Rattus norvegicus: one gene and its partners. The protein of the gene in region 5 interacts with the protein of the main gene of each other region in a pairwise test. Links are inferred from orthologs where the notes say so. Each region holds a gene or a part of one and is shown on either strand. Other genes may lie near its edges. The genes, in order: Zfyve21, Spg21, Ndrg4, Syt16, Rabac1, Ric8a and Dusp12.

The links.
Region 1: the proteins of Rabac1 (region 5) and Zfyve21 interact in binary tests that used the Homo sapiens proteins (3 or more experiments, as listed by UniProt). The two-hybrid records come from large-scale screens. The link is inferred for Rattus norvegicus from reciprocal best matches to the Homo sapiens genes RABAC1 and ZFYVE21.
Region 2: the proteins of Rabac1 (region 5) and Spg21 interact in binary tests that used the Homo sapiens proteins (3 or more experiments, as listed by UniProt). The two-hybrid records come from large-scale screens. The link is inferred for Rattus norvegicus from reciprocal best matches to the Homo sapiens genes RABAC1 and SPG21.
Region 3: the proteins of Rabac1 (region 5) and Ndrg4 interact in binary tests that used the Homo sapiens proteins (3 or more experiments, as listed by UniProt). The two-hybrid records come from large-scale screens. The link is inferred for Rattus norvegicus from reciprocal best matches to the Homo sapiens genes RABAC1 and NDRG4.
Region 4: the proteins of Rabac1 (region 5) and Syt16 interact in binary tests that used the Homo sapiens proteins (3 or more experiments, as listed by UniProt). The link is inferred for Rattus norvegicus from reciprocal best matches to the Homo sapiens genes RABAC1 and SYT16.
Region 6: the proteins of Rabac1 (region 5) and Ric8a interact in binary tests that used the Homo sapiens proteins (3 or more experiments, as listed by UniProt). The link is inferred for Rattus norvegicus from reciprocal best matches to the Homo sapiens genes RABAC1 and RIC8A.
Region 7: the proteins of Rabac1 (region 5) and Dusp12 interact in binary tests that used the Homo sapiens proteins (3 or more experiments, as listed by UniProt). The two-hybrid records come from large-scale screens. The link is inferred for Rattus norvegicus from reciprocal best matches to the Homo sapiens genes RABAC1 and DUSP12.

The regions. Positions count from the first base shown.
Region 1 is NC_086024.1:136,708,446-136,711,740, reverse strand, and holds the end of Zfyve21 (zinc finger FYVE domain-containing protein 21), read right to left. Parts: intron 3,268-3,295; coding exon 3,192-3,267; intron 3,114-3,191; coding exon 3,022-3,113; intron 2,527-3,021; coding exon of another isoform or gene 2,470-2,526; intron 847-2,469; coding exon 704-846; intron 574-703; coding exon 538-573; 3' UTR 501-537; downstream 1-500. UniProt on the Homo sapiens protein: Plays a role in cell adhesion, and thereby in cell motility which requires repeated formation and disassembly of focal adhesions.
Region 2 is NC_086026.1:74,874,764-74,878,935, reverse strand, and holds the start of Spg21 (maspardin), read right to left. Parts: upstream 2,801-4,172; 5' UTR 2,606-2,800; intron 2,040-2,605; exon of another isoform or gene 1,938-2,039; intron 1,032-1,937; exon of another isoform or gene 911-1,031; intron 1-910. UniProt on the Homo sapiens protein: May play a role as a negative regulatory factor in CD4-dependent T-cell activation.
Region 3 is NC_086037.1:9,356,970-9,359,471, forward strand, and holds the end of Ndrg4 (protein NDRG4 isoform 1 precursor), read right to left. Parts: intron 2,279-2,502; coding exon of another isoform or gene 2,257-2,278; coding exon 2,102-2,256; 3' UTR 501-2,101; downstream 1-500. UniProt on the Homo sapiens protein: Contributes to the maintenance of intracerebral BDNF levels within the normal range, which is necessary for the preservation of spatial learning and the resistance to neuronal cell death caused by ischemic stress.
Region 4 is NC_086024.1:98,616,694-98,620,966, reverse strand, and holds the start of Syt16 (synaptotagmin-16), read right to left. Parts: upstream 2,801-4,273; coding exon 2,278-2,800; intron 1-2,277. UniProt on the Homo sapiens protein: May be involved in the trafficking and exocytosis of secretory vesicles in non-neuronal tissues. Is Ca(2+)-independent.
Region 5 is NC_086019.1:89,692,218-89,696,449, forward strand, and holds the start of Rabac1 (prenylated Rab acceptor protein 1), read right to left. Parts: upstream 2,801-4,232; 5' UTR 2,696-2,800; coding exon 2,640-2,695; intron 2,398-2,639; coding exon 2,185-2,397; intron 1,940-2,184; coding exon 1,842-1,939; intron 134-1,841; coding exon 32-133; intron 1-31. UniProt on the Homo sapiens protein: General Rab protein regulator required for vesicle formation from the Golgi complex. May control vesicle docking and fusion by mediating the action of Rab GTPases to the SNARE complexes.
Region 6 is NC_086019.1:205,367,796-205,371,602, reverse strand, and holds the end of Ric8a (synembryn-A), read right to left. Parts: intron 3,188-3,807; coding exon 3,092-3,187; intron 2,995-3,091; coding exon 2,850-2,994; intron 2,772-2,849; coding exon 2,627-2,771; intron 1,827-2,626; coding exon 1,707-1,826; intron 1,340-1,706; coding exon 1,219-1,339; 3' UTR 501-1,218; downstream 1-500.
Region 7 is NC_086031.1:85,661,208-85,665,507, forward strand, and holds the start of Dusp12 (dual specificity protein phosphatase 12), read right to left. Parts: upstream 2,801-4,300; 5' UTR 2,783-2,800; coding exon 2,442-2,782; intron 192-2,441; coding exon 78-191; intron 1-77. UniProt on the Homo sapiens protein: Dual specificity phosphatase; can dephosphorylate both phosphotyrosine and phosphoserine or phosphothreonine residues. Can dephosphorylate glucokinase (in vitro).

The DNA of each region.
Region 1 (3,295 bases), on a different chromosome or scaffold from region 5:
TTATATACAAATTACTGTACAGTCATTTTAATAAAGTGAATAGTAAGTCAAGGTAGAAAACACGAAACTCTGATGCCTTCCTTAGAGACACAGCAAAGGGACTGTCCATGGCCCCGGTTAGTGACAGAGTGAACAGAGTCTAGAAACAGGCTAAGGCATTGTGAATGGGCTATTGAGAACGGAAGTGCCCAGTGCTAAACCAGGGCCTGAGTGATCACCACCCAATCTGTTTCTGTGGGAACAGGGCCAAAAATCTCTAAGGAACCTGGAAATGTACAGAAACGTGGTTACACTAAACCTGGTCTAGCAGTGCTGTCCTGCAGCTTCTCCCAACCCTACTGAAGTACCCATGATGCACTGCGACAGAAGCTCTTTAAAGCATTAATCAGCGGTGTACACACTAGGCGAGTGAACACTCTGCTTCCAGACACGTGAACTGCATTTCCAAGTACACACAGGGCAGAACCCCGAGTGCACAGGCAGGGCCAGCTGCGTGGGCTCTGTAACCCGATGTGCCCGAGCTCAGTTCCCGTGTACTTACTGGTCTCGTGATTCATAGAGGAGCTTGGTAGCCTGTGGAACACCATAATAAAGCACGATTGGCCTGTGCACCTTGTAATCAAGTGGGGCACCCCAGATATGTGGCAGTCTTTTGGTAAAAACACACTTGTCTATGAGCTCAGCCTCCCCAGCTCTACCATACCTTGTGCATGGCTGCCAGCCATGCTGCCGCCTGCCTCTTGCTGCCGCTTGCGTCTTCTCCAGCCATCAGCCTCAGCTGTGCTGCAGCCTCTGCCCCTGGCACTGTGTACTGCAGGAACATGCCTGTGGCTCGAGTGCTGCCTGCTGGAGGGGAGAGGAGGTGTCTGCCCTGTGTGCTGCTCAGAAAGCAGCCTTTGTTAGAAACATGCAGAGACCCCGTGTGCAGAGAAGGGAAAGGGATCCCCTCAGCCAGGATAAACTAACAGTACCTATCACCGAGAATAGGATGGTAACATGGTCCTCCTCCCCAACAGTCCAGAAACTGCCAGCCATGCTCCTTCCTACCTCAGAGAAACAGCACACAGGCAGACAGACAGACAGACACACACACACACACACACACACACAAGCTACAGCAGAGCAGTGGAAGCACAGAAACTGCTTTAGGGACGGCCTGGCTACCAGATAAGCCAAGCAGATCGTTACATCCGGTCTGGCTCCGCTGACAGCTAAGCAGATGCTGACACAGGCGTGAAGCCACACTACCCTGCCAAGCACCATTCTTCCCTACTTTGGGCATCCCATGGATGCAGCAAGAGGCCAAGTCAGCTCCATCTCTGGGCTGTGACCAGCTGCTCTTTAATTTAGGGTCTGCTTCAGGAACAAACCACTTGGGAGATCAGGCCTATCAGGGCCACTGCAGCCTCACATGATCATTAACCTCATGGTGACCAGAAGGGAAATGTTTTAGGAAATAACCTACCTTTATTCAGACATTAATTCTAAAATCAAAGCAGTCTGAGCCCCATTGGCCAGTGGACTAAGCATGCAGACCACAGCCAGAAAGAGGCCTGACTTCCTTGCCTGCAAAACCTCTGGCTGGGGCTGGCGGTGGGGGTGGGTTTACCCAGAGAGAGACTTTCTGAACTCAACTCTAATCAGAAACTTCAGAATCCCCCTGAAGGCCTCTGGCTGCACTGCCTCATCCAAGCCATTGCACAATTCCTATCTAAGCCATGCACCACCAGCTTCTGTAAATAAAAACGGGCCGAACGTGGTCATGGCCGCTGTTGGCTGTGGCTGTTTGGGGCTTTTTACCATCAAAATTTTACCACCCCCACGGGAACCAGGGAGATGATTCTGTAGTTAAGAGCACCTACTGCTTTTACGTAGGTTCAGTTCCCAACCTACTCTGGTTCCAGGGCATCTAACGCACTGTTCCGATCGCGGAAGGCACCAGGCATGCGCATGGCACACACACTTGCAGATGCCCTGACCTTTACACTCTCGGGGGCGGGGCTGACCTAGAAGAGGTTGGGGAGCTGGGTCTCTGGCACTAGGGTATCTATGCTCAATGCTCCATGCACCTCGTGCAGCTCCGTGCTGCATTCCTTAGCTGGGCCCCTCTAGAGACTGCGATGGAGGAGCCGACAGTCAGGGACCCCTGGAGGACAGTGTCTGCGGGCGGTAAGCTACTGGGTTCAGTGATGAACGCTGCTGCCCAACCAGCAAAGGAGAACCATACACTTGGCCGACACTGACAGAAGCTGTCACTCCTGCACGCCTTCTCCCTGGGAAAGAGCTGAGCAAGCTTACTTTGTTCTCTCAGGACACTGACTTACTCTGCATAGGCTCTTAGACTGGACCTAGTGTCTCTCCTAATCAAAAGTGACCTGAAGTTTCAGAACTACCCCAAGAGATAGAAGCAGAGGGGAGCAGACACCACAGCATGCTGGGAGGAGTGACCCAGGCAGGATGGAGGCTAACCTTCAGAGGCAGGCAGGCTCCCCAGGAGGCTGCTGTAAGTGTGAATGTCTTTTTCTACTTGAAGAAGGTAGGCAGGCAGTGCAAAGAAGAAACAACCAAGAGTCAGTCAGAAAATGGAAAGCAAGGTGCATTAGGTCAGATCTGCAAGTTTAGAATGTGCGACGCGCAGTTCAGCCGATGAAGTCAGGCTGAGGTAAGACCACTGAGCTCACCACGGAGCTGATCAAGGATCTTGGCTGCACAGACGCCTGCAGGGGAGGCAAACAGCAAGTCTGCAAGCAGGGCTCCAAATCAGCCACCACCACACGCCTCTGGAACTTCAGACCGCGCATTTGGAGCGCTGTCTGTCAGTAAGTAAATACCCAAGTCAGAGGAAATGGACAACAGGCAAATCTCCCCTCGTATCTCCTCTCCACTTACCTGGTGGGTTCTACAGTTACTGACTTAACAAAAGCCCCAATGAAGAGTATGGCGGGCCATCTGGGACCAAATACAGTACCTCCTGTTGCCCACATAGGTACTAGACCCCTCCTGCTCAGGAAAGGCATGTACCTCCAGGAGTGAAGCCTTCTGTGAGAATCTGGACAGTACACACATGTGCAATCTCAATTTCATGATGGCTGTCTCCATCCAGAATCAAGCATCTGTAACAAAAGAAAAGTCCTAAGGCTGAGGCCTAAAGCTACGACAACACTGGCCAGTGCTGGGGGACGTCCACTTACCTCTGGTTGTTGGAAAGACGACAAACCATGGTCTCAGGCTTCTCTGAGTCCCCAAAAGTAACAAGGAAGGTAGCTCCTTGGAAGACAAAACCAAACCACACGTG
Region 2 (4,172 bases), on a different chromosome or scaffold from region 5:
CTAATTCATTGGTCCTCCTTCAGGGACCCAACACTGGGCTGCTGCCTTTAAGCATCACTAAACTGAACTTCAAGCACACGGAGGCAGTCTAACATTAAACTCTAACTACAGTACTGATAGGATACCGGTCTCTTAGCTCAAAGCAAAGGAGATGCTTTAAGAGAGCGTTGTTAAAATTGTAAATTGTTTTAAAACATCAAGAAAATCACCACCAATCTTATGCTGAAACCAGTGTGCACAGATGTGATTGTGAACACTAAAACAAAGAACACAATCCTTTATCTATTTTATCTAAAATATTAACATGTTTAAAAATATCTAAGCCATCTAAACTATTTCTCTTAACACATCTTTCACTATTTAAAATTGCTTTATATGATAGCTTCATACATTTATGTAATACATTTTAGTTACTTTAACTCTCCTGTCTCCCTTAAGTTATTACTTTAGAATGAAAGCCACTGCCAGAACATACAGTTAATCCTAGAATATTTTATATTAGGACAGACTTGAAATACCACCACAGCATCTGTACAGTTCCAACTGGAAACATTTTCTAGAATGTCTGCAAGAGGGAATATCAAATACAGGCTAAACAGCTGGGTGTGGGGATACATATCTTTAATCCTAGCCTTCAGAGGCTGACAGCTAGCTCTCTGTGAGTTCAAGGCCATCCTGGTCTACATAGTGAGTCCCAGGTCAGCCAGAGCTATACAGCACACACAAAACACACAAAACTAAAACATCAATCAATTTGTTAAAGTTTACCTCTAGGATCAAACAACTTAAAAATCATTCATAGTTTTGGAATCAGCTGCCACTCAAAACCAAACTACAGTACAAACACACAGGCAGGCAAACAAAGGAGTTACCCACTTCTTTCCCACAGCAGCAGAAGGGTAGTCCTTACCAAGTCTTCAGTATAATTCACAAGCACCTCAGTACTGAACACATTGTAACTAAGCTCCATAGATAAGAGATTCTGCACAGCTGTGAGGACACTTTTGCAAGGACAGGTGGGTCTAACACTTGTGCTAGTTTGGTGCTGAGGAAAGGCGAGACAGTTACCAAATGTTGCGTAGGACCAGCTGATGGCTATGAAGAAAAACATTCCCCCGCCGCAAAGCTAAAGCAGCTGTGAAGGGTATGAAAAGGAAAGTTTGTTCTAGCTCTCTTTCATCCACTTAAGCCGGATGCTTTCCCAAGTCACAAGAGAAACATTCTAAAAAGTCTGTGGCCCAGAAAGTTAGCTGAGATTGAGATCAAACTGGTCAGGATCAAAAAAGAAACATAGGCAGGGAGTTCAGGGCAGATTTGATTTCTCGTGACTCTGTTCTTTACAAAAACAAAAGCACCTGTTCAGGCTAGTGAGGAAAGAGCCTGCAACACCCTTTAATCAAGGAAAACCCTCCACCTAGGCTAAGGACACTCAGTTCTTTCTGGACCTTGTGTTGCTGGACAATAAATTTGCTAGTTGTGAGCATGTACTTGTCCTTCAGAGTTTCAACAGAACCTGCAGTTTATAGTTGAGGAAATTATCTTTACAAATGTTTAACACATGGTCAGTCACATATTGCTGGTCCTCTCAATGTATAGTTGGCTTGTATAGGGACAATCTGTGATTGTTAATACAACCAATAAAAAAGTATTAGAACTTGAGAGTCTCTAGGTGACCCAGCTATGATTCTGTGTTGGAGAATGCTCACCATGAGCTTTTACCACTGACCTACAGCTAAGGCCCTGCAGCAGGCCCTTTACTACAGATCTTCACGCTTCACCACACCTGTATGTATTAAATAGCTATCTTTCGAAGATTTCTCCAGGAACCTATCCACTTCTCTCTAAATGTCAGGAGAGGAGAAGCTGCCTGCATGGCAACTTTCTCTCTGACACCTCGTTTCAAGGTCCTGGTGTAAAAGCTTTTTGAAAATTCATACATCACTATTAGACGACTTCCCGATTTGCAGAATCCTTGCAAAAAAGAGAAGCTGGACCACTGCAGATGGAGACAAAGCAACGTCATCAGCACCTAATTTCTAACTCCCTGGGAAAAGAAGAAAAAAGGGTCATTCGCTCTCCCAGCTACATTCTTCATGACTCACTAACAGGCCTCACACCTAGTCTGAGGTAGGATCTCCAAAACAACTCTACTCGCAGCCCCTTAAAAGTTGACTGAAACCAAGGGGGTGGGGATTTAGCTCAGTGGTAGAGCGCTTGCCTAGAAAGCGCAAGGCCTTGGGTTCAGTCCCCAGCTCCGAAAAAAAGAAAAAAAAACTGAAACCAAAATGTTCCTGAGTTTCTGCCCCGCAGCCGCAGGATAGGTGGCTCAAGAAAATGAGGATGTCTGACTAAGGATTTTGTGCTCCAATCGCTATAGGGGCCGCCCTGGTTCCACTAGTTCAAGCACACCAAACATCTGCAATGAACAGAAGGCTGGACACACAGGCGCACACGCACACACAGAGATATGGATCACGTGCATGGTCACAAGGACCGGCCCACTCGTGAACTCTGCTCATAAGTCACGCATGCTCCATACACGCCCACCTACAACCCTACACAGACCACACACCCACAGTCCTGCTTTCCAGGGCCTGCCCCTCACCTGCCGTGGCCGCTCCCGCGTCCCTTTCTTTCCAGCCTAGACGGCTCTTCGCCCCTATTTGGGCGCAGCGGATGTAGTCGGGGGGGGGGGCGTGGGTGGGACGGGCGGCTGCAGAGCAGAGGCCCCTTGGGAGCAGCGGGCAGAGGGGGCGCGCGGCCGAGCAGCCAGAGGCCGCCGCCTCCCAAGTCTAGAACCGGCAGCTCCCCAGGCGCGCCTCCCGCTTCCGGGTTCCGAGGAGGCGGGACCAGATGGCGAGGAAGGGGCGGGGCTCTGACGGTTACTATGGCGACGGGGATGGCTGGGGAGGCCCGGTGGTTCGGAGACTTCTTGCAGTGTACTAGAGGGCTGCGGAGGCTGTGAATAAGGGTCAGTCCTAGGTCACTTCTGATAGAAGCACCGAGGAGGAAGCCATGGTAGTGAAAGTCGGGGCTGTAGACCATGGGGATCTGCTTCTGCCTTTAGTTTTTAGGCGTCTTTATGCTTTTGGGAGGTGGGAGACACCTTTGGGCCACAGCTTTGGTGAATGGGCCTTGACATAGTCTTTTTTTAAAATTAGTATATATTAGTTCATTACAATGGCTTAATTAGGATATTTTGATACCTATATAAAGCATTTTGATCATTACCCTCTGTTAATCTCTGCCTCCCATTCCCCGTTTCCCCTCAGCTCCCCAACTGCAAATGCTTTCTCAGCAAAATGTTTTTTTGTACAGTCACCCTCCTCTGACCTCCTTCTGAAGCCCTGTTTCCTTTTGTGACTTTGTGCTGATGTTGAGGGGACATGCTCAGCACTGGCTTGCCCTCTTTCATCAGGCATAGTCTAATCACTATTCTTAGGAGAGAGGTGGCAGATGCCACAACACCTTTCAGTAATTGTTAACAGTTTTGCTCTGAAATAACATATAATAATATTAAGTGGCCTGTAAATCTTGTTTGAAAAATTGTAAGCCTCCTAGAGCAAGATGCTAATGTTTTAGGGAGAACTTTAAAAATATATTTTTATCAGTATTACTTTTAATTGTATGTGTTTGTGGGAGTGTATGTGGTGCACATGAGTATAAGGAGGGCAGACAAGGGAAGTGGATCCCCTAGAGCTGGTGTTACAAGCATTTGTGAGCTGCCCAACATGGATGCAAAAGCAGTATGTACTCTTAATCTCTGACCTGAATTTTAATCATCCCCTAGATTTTAATCATCCCCCACCCGTATGTGTGTGTGTGTGTGTCTGTGTGTGTGTCTGTGTCTGTGTGTGTGCATTGGTGCCTGCTGAGGTCAGTTTTGGATCCCCTGGAGTTGAAACTGCAAATGTAATGAGCTGGCTTGCATCCTGAGAACTCAACTTTGGTCCTCTGGAAGAGCAGTAAGTTTGTTAACCACCAAACCATCTCTCCAGTCCTAGAGAACACAAACAAAAACAACAGCGACTCAAAAATCAAAACCACTGATCTATGGATCAGGAGCCTTAGGTTCCAGTCTAGAACTTAAACAAATACCAGACACATTTTGCCCAAAGCATAGTGATGTCTCAGCCCTCAAAAAGGTAGGGCAGAAGGATCTCAAATAGTGA
Region 3 (2,502 bases), on a different chromosome or scaffold from region 5:
ATTCCAGTACTTGGGAGCCAGAAACAGGGAAATTATGGGGAGTTCCTTGAAAGCCTAGGCTACGGAGTGAGACCATGTCTCAAAGCAACTAAAGACAAGCAAACGAAAAGGGGCGTGCCCTTGCTTTGAAGAGGTCTCACTGGCTAAGCTTTCTGCCCAGCTGTAAAAGAGTTAGTGTCATGATTGATAAAACTATATCTCAGAGTATATAGCCTGTGCCATATACTTGGTAGAACCTTGCCCATTGTGTGTGAACGCCCTGATTCAATCTCTATCACCCCAAAAGGAAAAAAAACAAAAAACAAAGGACCCAGGACGCTGAAGTAGAACTGCTGAGTATTCAAGACCAGCTTTGTCTACAGAATGAGGCTACTCAGCCCTCCCCCACCACAAACGTGCAGACCAGGCACTGACGGTGTAGAGGTACACACAGATGTTTACTATCCTCCACCTGTCTGAATCTAAGGCAACCTCCCCTGTGATAGAAAGCACGGCACACATACGCTTAATTTCTTTATTAGTTTTTCTGCACAGATATCTTTCTATATCAATAAGGATTTTTGTTTTGCATTTTGTAATCTCAAAGTCTCTTATCAGCCACCAGAATACACAAAATTAGGCTCTTAACTTTGTACAGAGAGGGAAGTAATGAACTCCATTAAAAGTTCATCCTGACCAAAGAGAAGACAACCATCAATGGGAAACCACATACAGAAGGACCCGATATACATACATATATATATAATGTATAGGTATTTATAGATATCTTAAGAACACAGCAAAAAGATGTCCAATACTTGAAGTGCTATCTACAGTAAGGGATTAATTCTGCCAGCTTTAAACAGTCACACTCGGTATTCACGGAAGCACGTGAGTGAACAGAACCAGGGATAGGATACACTCCACTGGACTTCAGAGCAGTCTGGAAATGGCTTACAGTTACAGAAAGAAGGGGTGGCATATGCCACAGACACACGGATGTAGGTGTCCTCCTGCCTCAGAACACCCACACAACACCACATACATCACGCCCACCCCATATTCACACTTAAGTGCTCTCTCTCTTCTCTGGGGATGGCTGACACAATAGCTCTGGGCTGTGAGAGTCTACATGGTCAGGTGGCAGACATAGTTGCGGGCTGTAGGAGGTACGGAGCCTTTGTTCATCTGGAGAATAACCCATCTCCCACACAAGGAGCAGGCCATTTCCAGCCCCTTCAGCAAGCAGAGGTCATTGTATCTTTCTGTCTTGTATCTTCCTAATGCTCACTTCTCAAGTAATAATGTCTGTGACACGCCGGCCCAGGTCGACCAGGGCACTGTGACAAACACTCGCTGTTTGAAACCTGGGATAGGAGGGACCTACAGTACCTGCCAGCTCCCAAAGGGGCAACCATGAAGTTCTCAGGGGCTGTACACAGCATACAAAGCCATCAACATTTCACCTCTACCAACGGGGACAAGAGAGACCAGGTGACCTTTGCCTCAGGGTGGGACATGGCCCTGTGGTGGCAGAGTATGGGGTTCCTGCCCCCATGTCAGGGTTCTCCATATTCTGTCTTCAGCCTGGCTAGCCTTCTATCATGTCCTGCCCAGAGAGCACCAGGAAAATGGCTGACTGCTCAGAGCGCTCTCTTGTGGCTACTGTCCTCATGACTGTCACCTCTACTGTTAGGTGTGCTTGGTACAAGGGTTACAGAAAAGGGACGGCTCCCCACTGGTCTGACTCCCACTCACAACAGAGCCTTGGCTCAGCACCTGCCATCTTCAAACTCCCTATCTGCCAGCTCCAGGGGGTGGGCTGTGCTTTCTTTCGTACTATGTCCTACATCCTGGCCACACCCCAGACGGGCAGACGAAGGGGGCCGTATCAACCAGTGGCCGGTGAGATGCGAGTGTATAAGGTGAGCCCTTCACATCCTCTAAGACTGTTGTTCTGCGCCGTCCTAAGGTGGATCCCTTCGTTTTAAGTAAAAGAGAAGTAACCCCATTTCCTCCCCTTCACTCTCACAAAAATAAACCAGAGGGAAGATGAGCCGGTGCGAAGATGGCAGTGGGACCTGGGGGCAGGTAAGCGGGTGTCTTGGGCAGGACGAGGACTTCAGCAGGACACCTCCATGGTGTGGTTGACCTGGCCCATCCCCTCACTGCTGTCTGAGTGGGTGCAGGGCTGAGGGCGGCTACCATCCACAGAACTGGCGCTGGTGAGGGACGCGGTACGAGAGCGCGCAAGGCGGGTCATGCTGGCTGAGGGCACTGTGGACAGAGACAGAGGGTCCTGAGGACAGGCAGGGTGGGGTACCGGCAGGTGGGAAAAAGACAACACAAGCAGAGCGGCCAGTGAGACCCAATCTTGCCACATACAGAGGCCCATCCCAAGCCAGGGTGCTGGCACTGGCTATACTAGGCCAAGGCATGCAGGGTCAGCCAGCAGGATCCTAGGTCCCAGCAGCTACCCAAAGCCATGACCAGAGCAGGGCAGGTGCCCGTTAGGCACCCTGA
Region 4 (4,273 bases), on a different chromosome or scaffold from region 5:
TACAATGTACTCTACTTGGTATCTTTTGGTATCAATATGGTATCCTAGAAATGTTGGGGGTCCCTTCAACAAGAAAGGAATTAATGACTTTGTCTGGGTATGAATAATCTACTAATGTGTGTGGACTATATACATGCATATATAATGATTCATAAAAACGTATCAGCTGGTGTTCACTAGAGTGTGGAGGTAGACAGATGTGAGGATTGCCTACAGAAAGAAGTCCAGGAATTCTTTGAGATAATAAAACTGTTCTGTACCTTCTTTGAGGCAGTGGTTATAAGAAACTCTAAACGGTAACAAAACAGTAGTAGAAAGGCTAAGGTAATTTCATCTTGTGGAAATCATGTTTGTAATCAGAATAAGAACTGTGTTCTAAGATCAGAACACCTAAACTCTGTGTCTTCCCAACGGTGGAGTATAAGCAATGCGCTGTGACAATACTAAGAGAGGCTCCTTCAGAAGAACTCCTTCTCTTTGTGCCAAGTCCTACCACATCACCGCTAAGGTGGCACTCACCATGGCAGGCACAGCTGGAGAGCAACACCACAGCCTCTGTCATCTGACTTGAAGGTTGGGCCCAAGTAATGTTTGCATTCATATTTTATGGTTATGAAAATTAACCCCCCCCAATAAATCACTGCCTGACATCTACTAAGGCAAATCTATGTAAATTTCAAACACAGTTCAAATTAGGCAAGAATTCTTTAAAATCAGAATGAAATTTCAATTTGAATCTAAAATTCTACCAACTATATTACAAATAATTTTAGAAGACTCAAAACAGTAGTCGTTTGAAATTATTGCTTCAAAAAGAATATTAGCCTGCCTGACTTCACCAACTCATTCCAGGATTTCATTCCGTAAGAGTTAAGAAAGCATTGTATGGGGTGCTGCAGGACTTAGCCTTTAAATTGCTTGTTATAGAAGCATAATAATGACCTGAGTCTAGGCTCACAGAACCCACGTAAAAAGCTGGGTTAGGTGTGCATTTATAACCCTAGTATTGGGACTGGCAGTGACAGGATTTGCTGATTAAGCTAGTCTAGCCAAATAGAGAAGCTCCAGGTTCAATGAGAGACTCTGTTTCAAAAAACATGACGGGCAATTGAGGAAGTCCAGCTCAGTGTCATGCTCATGCAGAGAGAGGAAAAGGTGCTGTAAAGAATAAAATATTTTATTTCCTTATCCACCAAGATCCCATGTGTCTGGTAAGACCTTTATCTAAAAGGCGACACTAGGAAGAATCATTGAAAATAAAGAGACAGTATGGTATCCTAGAAATGTTGGCTCCCTCCAACAAGAAAGGACTTAATGACTTTGTCTGTGTATGAATAATCTATATATGGACTATGTGAGTACACACATCACACACACACACACACACACACACACACACACACACACACACACACATCCCCTAACCCCTCACCTCAGTCTACCATTCACCTCTGTCTCTGGGACCACTCTACGTGCTAGAAGATTGCAGCCATGGGAAATGTATGCCGAAACACATGCCAGTATCTTTCCCAGAAATGATTACATTTGTATTATATCCATGACACTTTTTTTTCTTTTTTTTCGGAGCTGGGGACCAAACCCAGGGCCTTGCGCTTGCTAGGCAAGCGCTCTACCACTGAGCTAAATCCCCAACCCCGACACTTTTATTAAAGCCCTGCTCTGTGCTCAGTTCTGACAACAAAGTATCTATCATAGGCGACTCTTATTAACTATGTCCTTATCATTCCAGGCTAAAAGCAAATGAAAGCGTCCTATTTCAAAGATCTCCCATCTACTGGCATCGCACACCCCGTCCTAGTCAGACGCTGTGAGAAGTATTCTTGGAGTGTTATCAACTACAAATTCTGAAACAAGTATGGCTGTTTGCACAGGATTTCATGCTGAATAATATAGTAACATCTAGAAATTCCTAACCTAGAGGGAGGGGGTTGGGGGGGAGAACATTTTTAAAGATATTTTAAAAACTGTGGCATGCGCGCAGGGACTTCTCAAACAGAACCCTCGGATTCATTTTAAGCTTTTTCACTTGCTCAGAACTATTATTTTGAAAGATGGAGCCCAAAACATGGATCTTGTAAAGCTTCACAGAACAAAAATATTCCTATGAATTGTATCTCTCAATCAGAAGCCAGAACGAGGGGATGTGTAATTAGCAAAGAAAGGGTAAAACCAATGCTTAAAATCAATACTTAAACCAGAGAGGAACCCTACAAGGCATCTAGAGGAGCATAGGAACAATGGTACTGACCAGCTTACCTTGCTTTCTTCCGTTAACTTTTTCTAAAGAGCCGGGAAGCTGGGTGTCAGAGCCATGCTGAAGGTCACATCTCTGCCCCTCAGAGTGATGTTCCTCCTCAGCGATAGAAGAAAGCACATGTGGGGGCTTTGGGCCACCTGGGATCTTATTGGGCCACTGGGAAATTACAGTGCTTGAGTCTTTGGCTTGCTGACCAAGTCTGAGGCTTGCCGTCTGGACAGAGTCCCGCAAATCACTATTAGAGCTTGAGAAATGGTCCTCTTCAAGAAACAGGGAGCCTGTCTCCTCTGGACCCCCATCGTTGTCCTGTTCTCCATCTTCCAAGCAGGTTTCCTGAATCTGAATAGCATCTAAGTCCTGCTCTGGCTTATCACTCAGTGCCGAATCGTGTTTGCTAAGAAGAACCAGTGAAGCAGATAAGGCATCCCCGGCTTGCTGGAGAGCTTCATAAACTCGGGAGAGCCAGGAGGACAAAGGTTGGAAGAAGTTCTGGACATCTTGAGATGCCATGACCAACACCATGACCAACTACCTCGTGTCTCCAGAGTCTGCTTGTTTGGTTCCTCCAGAACTCTGAACGTACGTGAAATATAGCATGAGCATAAGGAGAAATTTAACTGGAGGTCTCTGTTTTTTTTTATAACAGGCAAAACTTTATTAATGTACACATAAAGAAAACATGTGCAGTACGTAAGCACCGTTGGCAGTAAGTAAAACCAGGCAGCATGCTGGTTCTTGCACCAAGGTCTATGGAGTAGGTCTTTGCAGGGAACAGAGCAACTGTGTTTGATAGGGTGGTGGTCTCTTAGTGGCTGTGACCATTTCACTCTCAACACGTCTCAGCTGAAACAGAGGAGAGACATGCTCACACCTGTTAAAGTCACACTGTGGACCCATCACCAGATACCTGTAGTCAATATCAAGCAGCATTTGGGGGACAGAGAAAGATTATACTGAACTCTCATGATGGCTAAATAAAATGACCTTGAACATCTAAATGTGGGTTCTACCCACGATTGTACACCTCCTCACACTCACGCCCAACTTCTATTGCAACAACAGATTCTAGTCATGTGGACTGGAAGAAGTCGCTCCCCATAGACCAGTTTAACAATGTGAGAAGAGTAAAGGAATCTGTGGGAACAGCCAGTTAGGCATGACACTTCAAAATGCAAGAAAAACCGGAGGTTTCGTGCACAAACATGCAGACCCCAGAGAGCTAACGAACAGGCATCTCTGTTTTGAGACACAAAGGTTTATCCTCTCAAAGGAAATATGTGTCTGGAATTTCAACGCTTCCAACAAATCTTAAAAATAGAGTTTTACAGTTTTAGGCAATCTCTAGAAATGGTGTCTATTCTTGGGGAGAAATCGTACTGAATATGTGTGCATGGCAAATGGATCATGCAGCTTCCTTAGCGTCTTCTGCCTTTGTCTGTGTCCCCATCTCCTGAAGTTGGCCCTCTGTAACCTGCATGTCTTCTCAAACGTACCGTAAGATCAGAGTCTGAAAGGAGTAGCTTGGGGACACCCATAAAACAGCAGGGCACGGTGATGATCAAAGGGACTGTGCCTATATTTGTACACTCATGTGCAAACGCAAGCCTGGGCAGATTTACATCTATACATGGATATAGGTAATCCCATTGCTATCCCAGTGAAGGATAAATGCTATCAGTTGCTTCTATGATAACAACATCCCCCCCTCTGAATCACTCCATTCCTGAAGCTTCAAGCCTCTTGATCTTAGCCTTTAGTACAACTGCTTAATTTCCCTTAAAAGTTTCTCGTTAGTGATTCATAGGTGCCTTGATTCATTCAGTAAACAAATAACAAATACTGACCAAGCACCTATTAAGTACTGGGCAGAATGCCAGGAAAAAGGTAACCCTGAGGCCTCTGTCCTATGGAACTTGCATTTCAGCTAAGGAGGAACTGGGCTTTCTGCATTTTCCTCTTGAACGGAATAATTCATGTATCACTGTATAGCACTTG
Region 5 (4,232 bases):
CAGCCTCTCCCTACACAGACCCTGTACTCACCCAGGACCCAGAAGACAGCGGAGCCAGCACCGGCCAGCCAGAAGAAAGGGAAAGAGACACCACCAGCCAGGGCGTACTGATGTGCTGGGCTCACCTCACGGCCTGGGGACAGATGGTGTAAGACAGCCAGCCGTTCCCAGAGGTAACCAGAGCCACTTTGCACCCATCTAGTGTGACTCTGGAACCTTCCATGTAATAATACAGACTCCTCACATCAGGGCCTCCCACCCCTGGCCCTACCCCACCTCCCCAAAGTGACCTGTCCCCATAACGACCTTCCTCAGCTCCGCCCCTGCTCCACCTTCCCCAGGAGCCCCAGGCCACCTCAGTCTAGGGCCTGATGTTCCAGTCTGGTTACCAGGTGGCTCCGAGCCAAATCTGACCTGAGCATTTTTGTCCTTTTTTTTTTTTTTTTTTTTTTTTTTACTTTTTAAAGATTTATTATTTTGAACTATGTGTATATGCCCTGCGTGGGCATATGTACACGAGAGTTCAGGTGCCCGAGGAGGTGGCTATGGTGCACCCACCTGACTTGGGCGCTAGGAACCAAACCCACATCCTTTGCAAGAACAGTATTCAATTCTAACCACTGGGCCATCTCTCTAGACACTTAGTCTGATTATTATTTTTTTTTAAAGATTCTGAAGCCCAGGCTTATTTTGAACTTGGAGCAATTCTCCTGCTTCAGCTTCACAAGTGCTGGAATTCCAGGCACAGGCCAGCTTCTGTTTTGGGGATGTGTTCTCTGATGAGCTTCACAAGAATTTGGTTTGTGAGGGTTGGAGAAGGTGACCCAGCAGTTAAAAGCACTTGTCTTCCAGAGGGGCTCCTGCATTACACATTTTTTTTTCTTTTTTTCGGAGCTGGGGACCGAACCCAGGGCCTTGTGCTTGCTAGGCAAGTGCTCTACCACTGAGCTAAATCCCCAGCCCACACATTTTTTAAGGCTAGGACATGCTGGCCCTCTTCTTCAACCCTAGTACTCTGGACACAGAGGTGGGGGGAATCTGTGAATTGGAGGCCAGCCTAGTGAGTTCCTGGGAGACGACATAATTGGAACGAGACGCATTCCCTGCTCTCAATATATATAGAATATATATGCTTCCCCTCCCACCCCCCCACCCCCTGGCCAGGCTCTCCTATGCCTGAGAAACGTGTGCACCCTAGTGACCACTATCTGCAGAAGCCAAGTTCCAGTATTCCTTTGCCACAGCCCATCTTTGTCTGGTACTTAAACTTGCTGGGTCACGAAAGACTTGGTTTTTTTTTTTTTTTTTTGGTTCTTTTTTTTCGGAGCTGGGGACTGAACCCAGGGCCTTGCGCTTCCTAGGCAAGCGCTCTACCACTGAGCTAAATCCCCAACCCCCGAAAGACTTGTTTTAAGTCTCCTTGGAAACCCTTGGATTTCTCCTCAGAGAGTCTTCCTTGACACCTTTCTTCCCAGTGGGGCCTTTCCCCTCTGAGAATCCGAAGGTTTGGGAAGGAACACGGATCTAAGCCTGCATAAGGTCGCCATCTGGTGTCCAGTATGGGTATCTGCAGCTGATGTTTTACGTCGGGGTTTGGGAGGAACTGGATTAAGTCATTTACCTGAGACAGAGGTGCCAGGGGCTTTGGGGTCTCTCTGGGTTTGAGAAGCTGAGACTGGAGGGGAGCACCTGGTAGGTCTAAGCCCTTAAGGACCAGGTTAAATGACTCTAGTGTGCATCTCGGTAGGGGCCGACTTGAGTCCCAAATATTCGGAGGTTTGCATTCCGTGAGACCACGATCAGAAAGGCTTGGGAAGCCATTTGGGCAGGGGATTTCTCACCAAAGAGCACAAGCTTAGACTGCAACGTGCGCAGATAGAGAATGTAACAGGCGCCAAAGAAGACAGCCAGAGCCACCAGCAGCATGGGGGATGTCACCCTGGAAGAGTGTGGGAGACAGGAGTTAGGTATCCGAGGCTGCATCAGCCAGGTCCCTGTAGCTTTGGACAAACAGAAGTTACGTCCTTCTAGGTCAGCGAAGGTCACACTGCACCCTGGTCAAGTGGATGCAAGAGTACAGACTGACCAGGTCTTGTGGTGACAAAGGTGCTAACTGGTCTGGGCGGGGCCTGGCAGCCGGGGGCGGGGCCGGACTATCGAGGGCGGGGCCGCGGAGGCACTCACACGCAGTACAGGATGAGGCCCAGAAACACAAACACGTAGTTGCTTTGATAATACTCCACGTTGCGAACCAGGCGCTGGCAAAGCTCGCCTACGTTGCGGGGTCGCGAGAAACGTTGCTGGTCCACGAAGGTGCCCCAGGGCCGGATGGTAGCACGGCGCCGCTCCAGCCACTCTCGACCTGCGCCAGAGGGAATCAGCTTGGGTAGCAGGGTCCTAAAGGACGGGGCAGAGAAGATGAAGGCAGGAATAGGGTACCGGACCCCAGATTCTAGCATACATGGTCCCAAGGTTGACCTTGAACCCTGGGGGGGGGAAGGGTCCTAGGAGGAAGGTAACACAACTGAGTCCCTCCCAGGGGGTGAGGGGCTGAGATGTCTCTGAAGGGGAGAGATCTATGCTTGCGGGGGCAGGGACTTCTGCGTCTCGGATCTGGGGGTAACACCCTGCTTGCTCACGTGGCGCTCAGCCCTTCCACTTCGGCATCCTTCTGCTGGTCCTTCTGGGCCGCCATGTCTGCGCTGCAGTGAATAGAACCGCTGTAAATATCCCCGAGCCCAGCAGCACCTAGGCGGCCCCACCCGAGCCGGACTCAATGGAAGTGGCGCCGCTGGGAGCTCTAGGGGGCGGTAGTTGTGCCTCGGAGCATTGTGGGTGTTGTAGTCCTCGTGGCGTCAAGAGGCAGGTTTGCCTCGCAAGACATCTTGGGAGATGTATGCTAAGAGCTCGGGAGCCACTAGGCATTGTGGGAATTGTAGTTTCAAGAGGCGCAGAGTGGAATACAGCAGGTGGGCTGTCAGGACAGAGGATTTGATAGGAGTTGGAATAGCAAAAACAGGCGAAAACAGGCGATCTACATGCTTCCGTGGACCATGCAGAGCTGTCGTTCTGACTCCAGAAAGCTGATTCTGTTTGGGCAAGCCTGGGAAAGAGTTCATTTACCTTTTCTTTCCTTAAAAGAAAAGTACTGGGGCTGGAGGGATGGCTCAGTGGTTAAGAGCACCGATTGCTCTTCCTGAATTCAAATGCCAGCAACCACATGGTGGCTCACAGCCATCTGTAATGAGATCTGATGCCCTCTTCTGGTGTGCCTGAAGCAAGCTACAGTGTACTCATATACAATAAATAAAAAATCTTTAAAAAAAATCTTAAAAAAAAAAAAGGAAAAGTACTTACTTTGGAAGTGGGGCTGGAGAGAGCTTACTTGTTTCTCTTTCAAAGGATCATAGCTTGGTTCCCAGCACCCACACCCAGTGGTTCACAACTGCCTGTAACCCCAGCTCTAGCGGATCAGATATACTCATGTGTACATGTCCACACTCAGATACACATTATTTAAAAATAAGTGTTTCGGGGGCTGGAGAGATGGCTCAGTGGTTAAAAGCACTGACTGCTCTTCCAGAGGTCCTGAGTTCAAATCCCAGCAACCACATGGTGGCTCACAACCATCTGTAATGGGATCCAATGCCCTCTTCTGGTGTGTCTGAAGACAGCTACAGTGTACTCATATACTAAATATCAAAATAAGTGTTTTTATTTTAAAAGAAAAGATTTACTTTTATATGTTTATGTGTGTGCGCCACCAGAACAGGTTTTAGATCTCCTGGAACTGGTGTTACAGGGCAATCATGAGCAGTTGGGGTTCCAGTCTGGGCCACTCAGCAGGAAATTGTGTTTGGGTTTCCCACTTGAGGTCCAGCATTGCTTCAGAAGGTCAGTGGACGACCATATAGTGTACAGTTAGCCTAAAGACTAATGAGGGACACCACAAGGCCAGCCTTGGGAACCATTTGGTGGCAAAGGTCAGCTGGGTTTGACAGTTGTGGAAATCATTTCAGTTTCTTTTTGAGGACTACGCAAAAGTCTTTCTATTTCATAACTCTCAAGTCTCTGCTCCTCAAACACAGCAAAGATGGAGAGCAGCCATGTGGGAGGCAGGGTTTCCGGAGAAGGCAGAGGTATGTTGCAGAAAGTGGCAAGCTAATTGGGAGAATGCAGGAGCCTTGAATACAGGGGATTTTACGTTTGGTGTCTGGGGCAATTGGGAAAGG
Region 6 (3,807 bases), about 120 Mb from region 5:
CCTTGGCTTACCCTGGTGTTAACTCAGGCCCCTCTCATACATTCCCTCAAAAATACCCCGTCCTTTAGAATCCCCATCTGCCCAGGCCCCCTCCCCCGGAGCTGAGGACTGAACCCAGGGCCTTGCGCTTGCTAGGCAAGCGCTCTACCACTGAGCTAAATCCCCTCTCTAAGGCACTTCCCACTACTCCACCCAGACTTCTTCCAGTAACGATGCTAAAGCCAACGGCAGGCATTACTCTGGGAAACCCCACTGGGCTCCTGTTTTCCCGTCCTGTATGTGGTTATGACTAAGCACAGGCTGCTTCCTCCCTGACTCCTACTCAGAAAGTTTAGGCTGTTTGCAGGTAGAAGCACCCCATTACTGTCACAGCCCATTTTGACTGCGGCTGACAGTATGTAGCTGACCCAGCAAGATTCCAGGGATTGGGGTCTTGCCTTCTATCCTTGATCTTCAATGAAAGCAGATGTGTAGTGGTCTAGGAAATCTTGAATGTTAAATAGAATGAAATCAGTTTCTATTTAATATTCTTTCACCCGGCTACTTCACAGATATACAGTCTTGTCCCAAACTCTTTATTCTGTGCCTCAGAAATCTCAGATTTTTACCTTGTCTTACAACTTTTGCCTTCATCTAATTACTAAACCAGTGGTTGTCACTGACTTAGTGGTCACAACCAGTGAGGCTTGGGTATGTGGATACTGCAGTGGGTGGCTGAGCCAGGACCAAGAATTTAGAAGAGGCCACTGACCCTGTGCTCAGTGGGGCCAGAAGCAGAAACCATGATGCTTGGTGTGTTTTCTGACATACTTAAACAATTTCAACAGATTCTAGAATGTTTGAAACACAGCATATGCCCCACATACGGGCTCTGGGCTGGTACCAGCCCAGCCATGCTTACACCGTGTGCACCCTGCTCAGCTACCGCCCTCACACATGCACGCTCATTTATGTGCCAAGGCAACTCTGCCCATGGCTGCAGCCACATCCAAGAAACAACTTCACTTGTGGAAATGAAAGGTGGGTTCCCTGTCTTCACAGAGGATAAGACTACCACAGTCCTAAACACAAGAAACTGGACCAAAGGCAGATGACAGATATGTGAGGAGTAGAGAGAACGGCTCCCCAGCTGGAGAGGGGTGTGGCTTCTCGAGGCAGCACCCCAGGCATGTCTGGAAACAGCACCAGTTCTGAAGGGGAGCAAAGTGGCTGCCATCTTCAGTCGGGGTCTGAGTCGGGGTCTGAGGAGAGCTGTCCCTCCATAGTTTCACACATCGCATCTTGCAGAGAAGTGAGGTGACCCCTGGGACTCATCCCCATGGGTTGGATGAGTCTGTGCCTGCAGGGAAAACACAGTGTGGTTGGGGAGGGACCTAGTGTGCAGGGCAGGGGCTCTTGCTCATTTCTTGGCTGCTGCTTGGACTGCGTTAACTATTAACTAGGCCTGGATCCTAACCACCACCTAATTAACTTGGAGACATTAGCCAGTCCTTCACATTCTTGTCCTCATTTTCATCCTCTAAAAAAGAGGGCTCAATGCTGACTGTACCCTCCTCTCTCTTTGCCAGAAGGTTACCTCTGGGGCAAGTTATCTCAAATGCCCAATACAGCCTCACTAGGATCTGAATCTCTAAGCCATTCTCCTTGGGCTCACAAAACAGAATCATTCCCATGTCTTCTAGCTACAAGCCTTCCTCATAACATACCTGGAGAGCTTGTCAAACATGTTCACTAGCTTCATGGCCTCATGTTCCTTCTGCTCCTCTGTCATGCCTTCCATAGGATTAGGCGGCTTCTCCTCTACCCTTCCAGTCACAGGGTTGATGCTAATTCCCAGGAACAGTGTATGAGAAATGGGTTAGTGCTGCTATAGGAAAAGCAGTGCTCAGTGGGGCAGCAAGTCTCCATCTTCATGCCTAGGGCTGGGTTAGCAAGAACCCACCTTCATGGTTTTGGTTTTGGTGGTGATGGGACTTCAGAAGGGAGATCCCCCTTGAACACCAGGCAGACAACTCTTGCCCAAGACCTACTGGATCCCAGAGAGCTCACTCACTGGGCCTCAGTACATGACTTGTCATCAGAACCCAAGTTTTTTTTGTTTTTTGTTTTTTGTTTTTTTTTATTGAGTATTTCTTATATACATTTCGAGTGTTATTCCCTTTCCCGGTTTCCGGGCAAACATCCTCCTCCCCCCTCCCCTACTTTATGGGTGTTCCCCTCCCCATCCTCCCCCCATTGCCACCCTCCCCCCAACAATCTAGTTCACTGGGGGTTCAGTCTTAGCAGGACCCAGGGCTTCCCCTTCCACTGGTGCTCTTACTAGGATATTCACTGCTACCTCTGAGGTCAGAGTCCAGGGTCAGTCCATGTATAGTCTTTAGGTAGTGGCTTAGTCCCTGGAAGCTCTGGTTGCTTGGCATTGTTGTACATATGGGGTCTCGAGCCCCTTTAAGCTTTCCAGTTCTTTCTCTGATTCCTTCAACGGGGGTCCTGTTCTCAGTTCAGTAGAACCCAAGTTTTTATCCATTCCTTATCCTGTCCTACGTACTACTGGCTGTGGTTGAGGAGGGGCAGATAGGGGGATGGGGGTTACGAGGGAACCCAAGTGTACACTAGGAGCACATACCTGGCCTTAGCTTCCCTGTACTCCTCTGTGTCGGTGTCCTCATCCTCTGAGTACTGGCCCTCGGGCCGGCCCCCAGCCATGAGGCCCCTGGCAGCCAGGAGGCCAGCAGCATTCCCGTAGCCTGTGTACTTGATGAATCGGGGCACTGAAGACCAGGGCAGAGGTCAATGTGTGAATATGGCTGTGGCAGGGGAGGCCTGGGGCTTGGGCTCCCCCAACTCACCACTCTCAGAGCATAAGACAAAGAGGAACTCAGCAGCTACTCTCTTCACATCTGTATCCAGGTGTGTCATGAGGCGGACAAGCTTGTTTCGGAGCAGGTCCCCCACCTCAGGCCGAGTCCTCACATCCCTCAGAGGGGGCAGGACCTAGGGAGGCAGCTGTCTCTAAGTGTTGGCTTGGAGCAGCCAGAGCCCTATATAAAGGATCCCCAGGTCCCCCAGATCCGTCTCATTTTTCAAGTACCTGGGCCTTCAGGAACTTCCTGGCAGGACGGTGCATGCGGGCACATTCTGTCAACACGCTCAGCACCGGTGCCACACACTCCTTCAGCCTGTGGGTCTGCAGAAGGGCTTCTGTTACTGTCATATGCTCCCCAGGCGAGATGGGGCTACACTGCACCCTTCACCAGAGGTTCTGACAATCGCTTATAAAGAGGCCATGCTGTAGAAAGTTAGCTAAGGGCCAAAGACAGTGCTGGGCGTTTATTAGTTTAAGAAGGTATGGAAACATTAAGCCAGTCATGGGGGTACCAGCCTGTAACTCCAGCACTTGGGAGACAGGAAAAATCAGAAGTTCAAGTTCACCCTTGCCTGCACGGGGTCTAAGAAGAGAGAGTGATGGAAACCAGACCTACTTCTGGAAGTGACTGAAACTTTGTGACTTGGGGGCCAACAACTTGCTTCTTCAAAACCAACTGTTACAAGTATGAACCAGGGCCAGGAACAAAACAAACGGAATTTGAAGCTGTCCGCACACCTGAGGTACACCCTGCCCTCAGGAAACAACAAATAGCAGATTTCCTATTCAAAGTGCCTCCCGGACAGCAAACAGTGCACCTATCCCTTCTCTGCCTAATGCCAGCAGCTGCAGCAAGAGGAGCAGGCAGCTGATCGAACTCACTAAGCTTAGCAACATGGCTCCTCAGATGGAGTGAATCTCAATCTAGGGCTTTCAGCTGT
Region 7 (4,300 bases), on a different chromosome or scaffold from region 5:
AAAATAACACACGCACGCACGCACGCACGCACGCACGCACGAACACACGCGTGGGACTGGGACTCCAAAGGACTCACTTAGCCTCTGGCTTGATGGTCTGGAGGTTTTCATAGGCTTTTTCAAAGGTAAGCTGTTCGGTCTTCATTATGAAAGCCGTCACTACAGCAACACTGCGGCTGACTCCTGCATGACTGAAAAAGAGACCTTCGAAATAAAATAGCAGATAGCAGCAGTTAAAAAGCAAGCCAGGCTGGGCACGGTGGCACACGCCTCTAATCCCAGCACTCGGGAGGCGGAGGCAGGCAGATCTCTGTGAGTTCAAGGCCAGCCTGGTTTACAGAGTTGAGTCCAGGATGGCCAGGGCTACGCAGAGAAACCCTGTCTCAATCAATCAACCAACAAATAAACTAAAAGACAAAGCCCAGCGACTGTTAGTGGTAACGTTTCGGTCCACCTCACTCCTTTCTGAGTCAGGACGATCTCCCGCCTCAGCCTCCTCGGTGCTGGAATTCCAGGTGCGGCGCCCTGTACCCAGCTCATTCCTATTTCCATTCAAATTAACCCACTGCCCCTTAAATACTGTCAACGCACAACATGAATCGATTATTTCCTTATTCCTTCTTAATTCCGAACAGTGTGGATGCATTAACTATTCTACAATGCCTGCCTTCAATGTTTTAACTGTTGCCATGGCGCCTCGGCTCTTGACTTCAAGTTGTTCCAGATCTGATTCCATACTTCTCATCACTACCTTCTGTCCTTGTGTAAATCTTTACAACTACTGGTACACAGGAAGTGTCCAACGAAGCAGTTCAGACGGACCCCAACAGGACTACCCTGGGATCCCCAAACACCTACTAAGATTTTCCTTCTTTTTTTCCCCCACACCAGTACTTAATAACTTTATTTGCATTGGCTCCTTCCACCTTGTGGAAGAGATGGGTGCAGGCAGCAGTTTGGCCATCGTGCGCCCTCTGGTGGGACTCAGGGGCAATGAACACAGTTGGCCACACAGGGCGTCAATCAATAGTCGAACACAGGGTTGTAGTGATCCTCACTCAGGTCTGTACCCCAGACCCAACTTCAGGTACCTGGGCTTCTTGGGGCGAAGCCCTGCACCTCTGACTCTCATACTCGACTGTGTTGGACACTTGATGTTCTGACGAACCTTGAAGGAGAGGCTAGAAGCACTCTTCTTCAACTCTAAGCACAAAAACCAGAATTAAAGTCAAAGCAGTAAGTAGCACATGCATAGAATACCAGCACTGGGGTTGGGGATTTAGCTCAGTGGTAGAGCGCTTGCCTAGGAAGCGCAAGGCCCTGGGTTCGGTCCCCAGCTCCAAAAACAAAAAACAAAAAACAAAAAAAGAATACCAGCACTGGGGGTGGATGCGGGAGGGTCCCAAGTTCAAGGACTGTCTAGACCGCACAGCAAAACTTCCATCCCAAAAACAAAACAACAAAAATATGGAGAGAAACATCACTCTAACTTTCCTCCACCTTTCCAAGAACCTGCCCCAAAGGCATTTTCTTAAGATCGGGGCTGTGTCATCATAGTAGCAGCATGTTTGCCTAACGTGCTATAAGCAGGACAAATTAATTCTCCGATCGATTTAGTCCGATACATCCTAAGACCACAATTCCAGAAAGGGCTTTGCCTATACACCCGAGGACGATCAATTCAGGACAGGCTGAGTTTCCTGGCTCATTTCCATAGCATTATGTCACACTCCTCTTGTCCAATCCCTTTTCTATACGACTGTCCAGTCTTAATTAGTCCCAGAATGTGAACGAACGGTTTTCCTTTGGTCCGTGCATGCTTCTCTAAACCTGCGAGTCACGTAAATCTTTGATTAAAACTGCCCGAGCATGGTGGCTCACTAAAGGTGTGCAGCACTGTGGACGCAGAGGCAGGAGGATATCTGTGCTTTTTGAAGCCAACCTGCTCGATATAGCGAGTTCCGGGCCTGCCAGATCTGTACAGTTAGACCTTGCCTCAAAAAACAAAAAGCCCCATGTTTTTCTCTTGTTTAGTGAGCTTTAGGACGAGGAAGAAAAGTATCACGTACTTTCACCCCTGTACTCCATTCACCAGAATGATTCTGACTTCTCTTACAAAGCTGCTAAACTTGATGAAATAATTGTAATGGTTAGTGATTAATGAACTAATCTGGTGAACCCCAAACTCCAAAAACACAGATAGGCAGATAGACCGATGGACGGATGGAAGGATGGATGCACAGACAATGGTTGCTGGAAAATGAAATCAAACAAAACCTTAACCAAGGGCGGGTTTACGAACTCTCCCTTGAGCCACAAACCCCAAGGGAAGATGAGGAAAGAGGGTTTGGGCTATGACAGCACCGCCCTCCACTTCTGGGCGCCTCAGCAGAGAGGCTAGACACGGGGTAAGGCACCGCCCCCCAGCCTGGGGCACTCACCAGTGCACCAACACCGCACGGCCTTCGGAGCGAGCCTGGCCGATGAAAGCCACGCACCGATCCAAGTGACTGAGCAGGTCGGTCTCGGGTTTGTCCAGCGCGGGCACGAAGAGGCTCTGGAGACCTTCGAAACCAGCCCCGGCCGGGAAAGCCGGTTCCGAGTCCACCGTCAGCACGGCGGTGATGCCCGCCTCCCTCAGGTAGTCCGGTCCAGCCACTGCCGCCGCCCCACCCAGATACAGCCCGGGCCGCACTTCCACCGCGTGCCCTGCCGAGCTGGCGGGGCTGGTAGTCGGAGCCTGACGCTCGCAGCCATGGTTAGAGCTCTGTACTTCCAACATGGCGGCGCCAGGAAGCCAAGCAGCCTCTGCCCGCCACCAAGTCACCGGCTAGAGTAACCAGCTCCGGTGTCGGACTAACTCCAGCCGCTCGGTAGCGCCATGGGAGGACCACGGCAATAGGGAAAATGACTGATTCTGGGGAAGGTGATGTGAGGCTTGCTGGGACTGTGTGCTAAGTAAGCTCCTTTTAGAGCAGCCTTTCCACCCAAGCCTCTAAAGTCCAAGGCAGAAAATGAAGTCTCCATTCATCCATTACTGGTGGGTTCGCAAACTTGTACAGTCACTATGGAAATCAGCTCGGAAGTTCCTCAGGAGGATGGGAATCTACCTCAAGATAGACACTTGCCCAACCATGTTGTCCATTGATGCTTCCTAATCAGAAATCGGAAACCTAGATGTGTCACAACAGAAGATTGGATAAAGAAAATGTGGTGCGTTTTACACCATAAGGTGTTACTCAACCATTAAAAAAAAGAAGAAGAAGAAGAAGAAGAAGAAGAAGAAGAAGAAGAAGAAGAAGAAGAAGAAGAAGAAGAAGAAGAAGAAGAAGAAATTCACAGGTAAATGGATAAAGCTAGGGGGAAAAAAATCACTCTGAGTGAGGACCCAGAAAGACAAATCTGGTATGTATAAGTTTATATGTGGATATTAGCTGTTAGGTCAATGATAACCAAGCTGCAATATATAGAACCTCAGAGCTTAAGTACAGAGCTTAAGTACAGACCAGGGAGGAAAGATAGATCTCCCTAGGAAAGGTAAATAGAATAATAGATAGTTATGCTGGATTGAGGGGCGGCTAGAACAGAAGGATCCAATGGGAAAGGGAAGAGAAAAGCAGGGACAGACAGCTAAAATTAAGGGGGGGGGCATGAAAACCTAATATGGTAGAGCTTCCTAAAATAAACATATATGAAGGCAATCTAAATGAAATGTCCAAATAATGGGGGAGACAGACTCTCCAACTGGACATCTCTTGTCACCAAATGAAGCTTCCAGTGTCAGGATTGGTCGACATCTAATTGAGTTGTTGGTCAATGGAGTCTCATGGAACCCACCCTCACCCCCACCCCAAACCCACTCAAACTGTTGCCAAGACCTTAGGCTGCTCTCCACCAACTGATGGCAAGACCCCAATCCTGAAGACAACACCTACATAACTCACTAGACATGGAGAAGCTGAACTTCTTCCTTCAGAGAGCCTTCACCCACATATACGAGTGTCTTTGGTGCAGGAAGGTACTCCACACGCTACCAAAGGAGAAATCTGAACACCAGCCCAGCCTCAAACCCTTTGATCTACAATGGTGTCCTGCCTGCAAGATACGCTAGTGCAATGGTGGCAGGAACCAGCCAGTATCTGATCTGATTTAAAACCCACTACACGAGATAGAACCCATACTGAACTTTGCTTGGGTACCAAGAACCATGATCCTAGATCGCTGTACTGGTTTGAATATGCTTAGCCCATGGGAAGTGACACTATTAGGAGCTGTGGCCTTGTTGGAGGAAGTGCGTCAC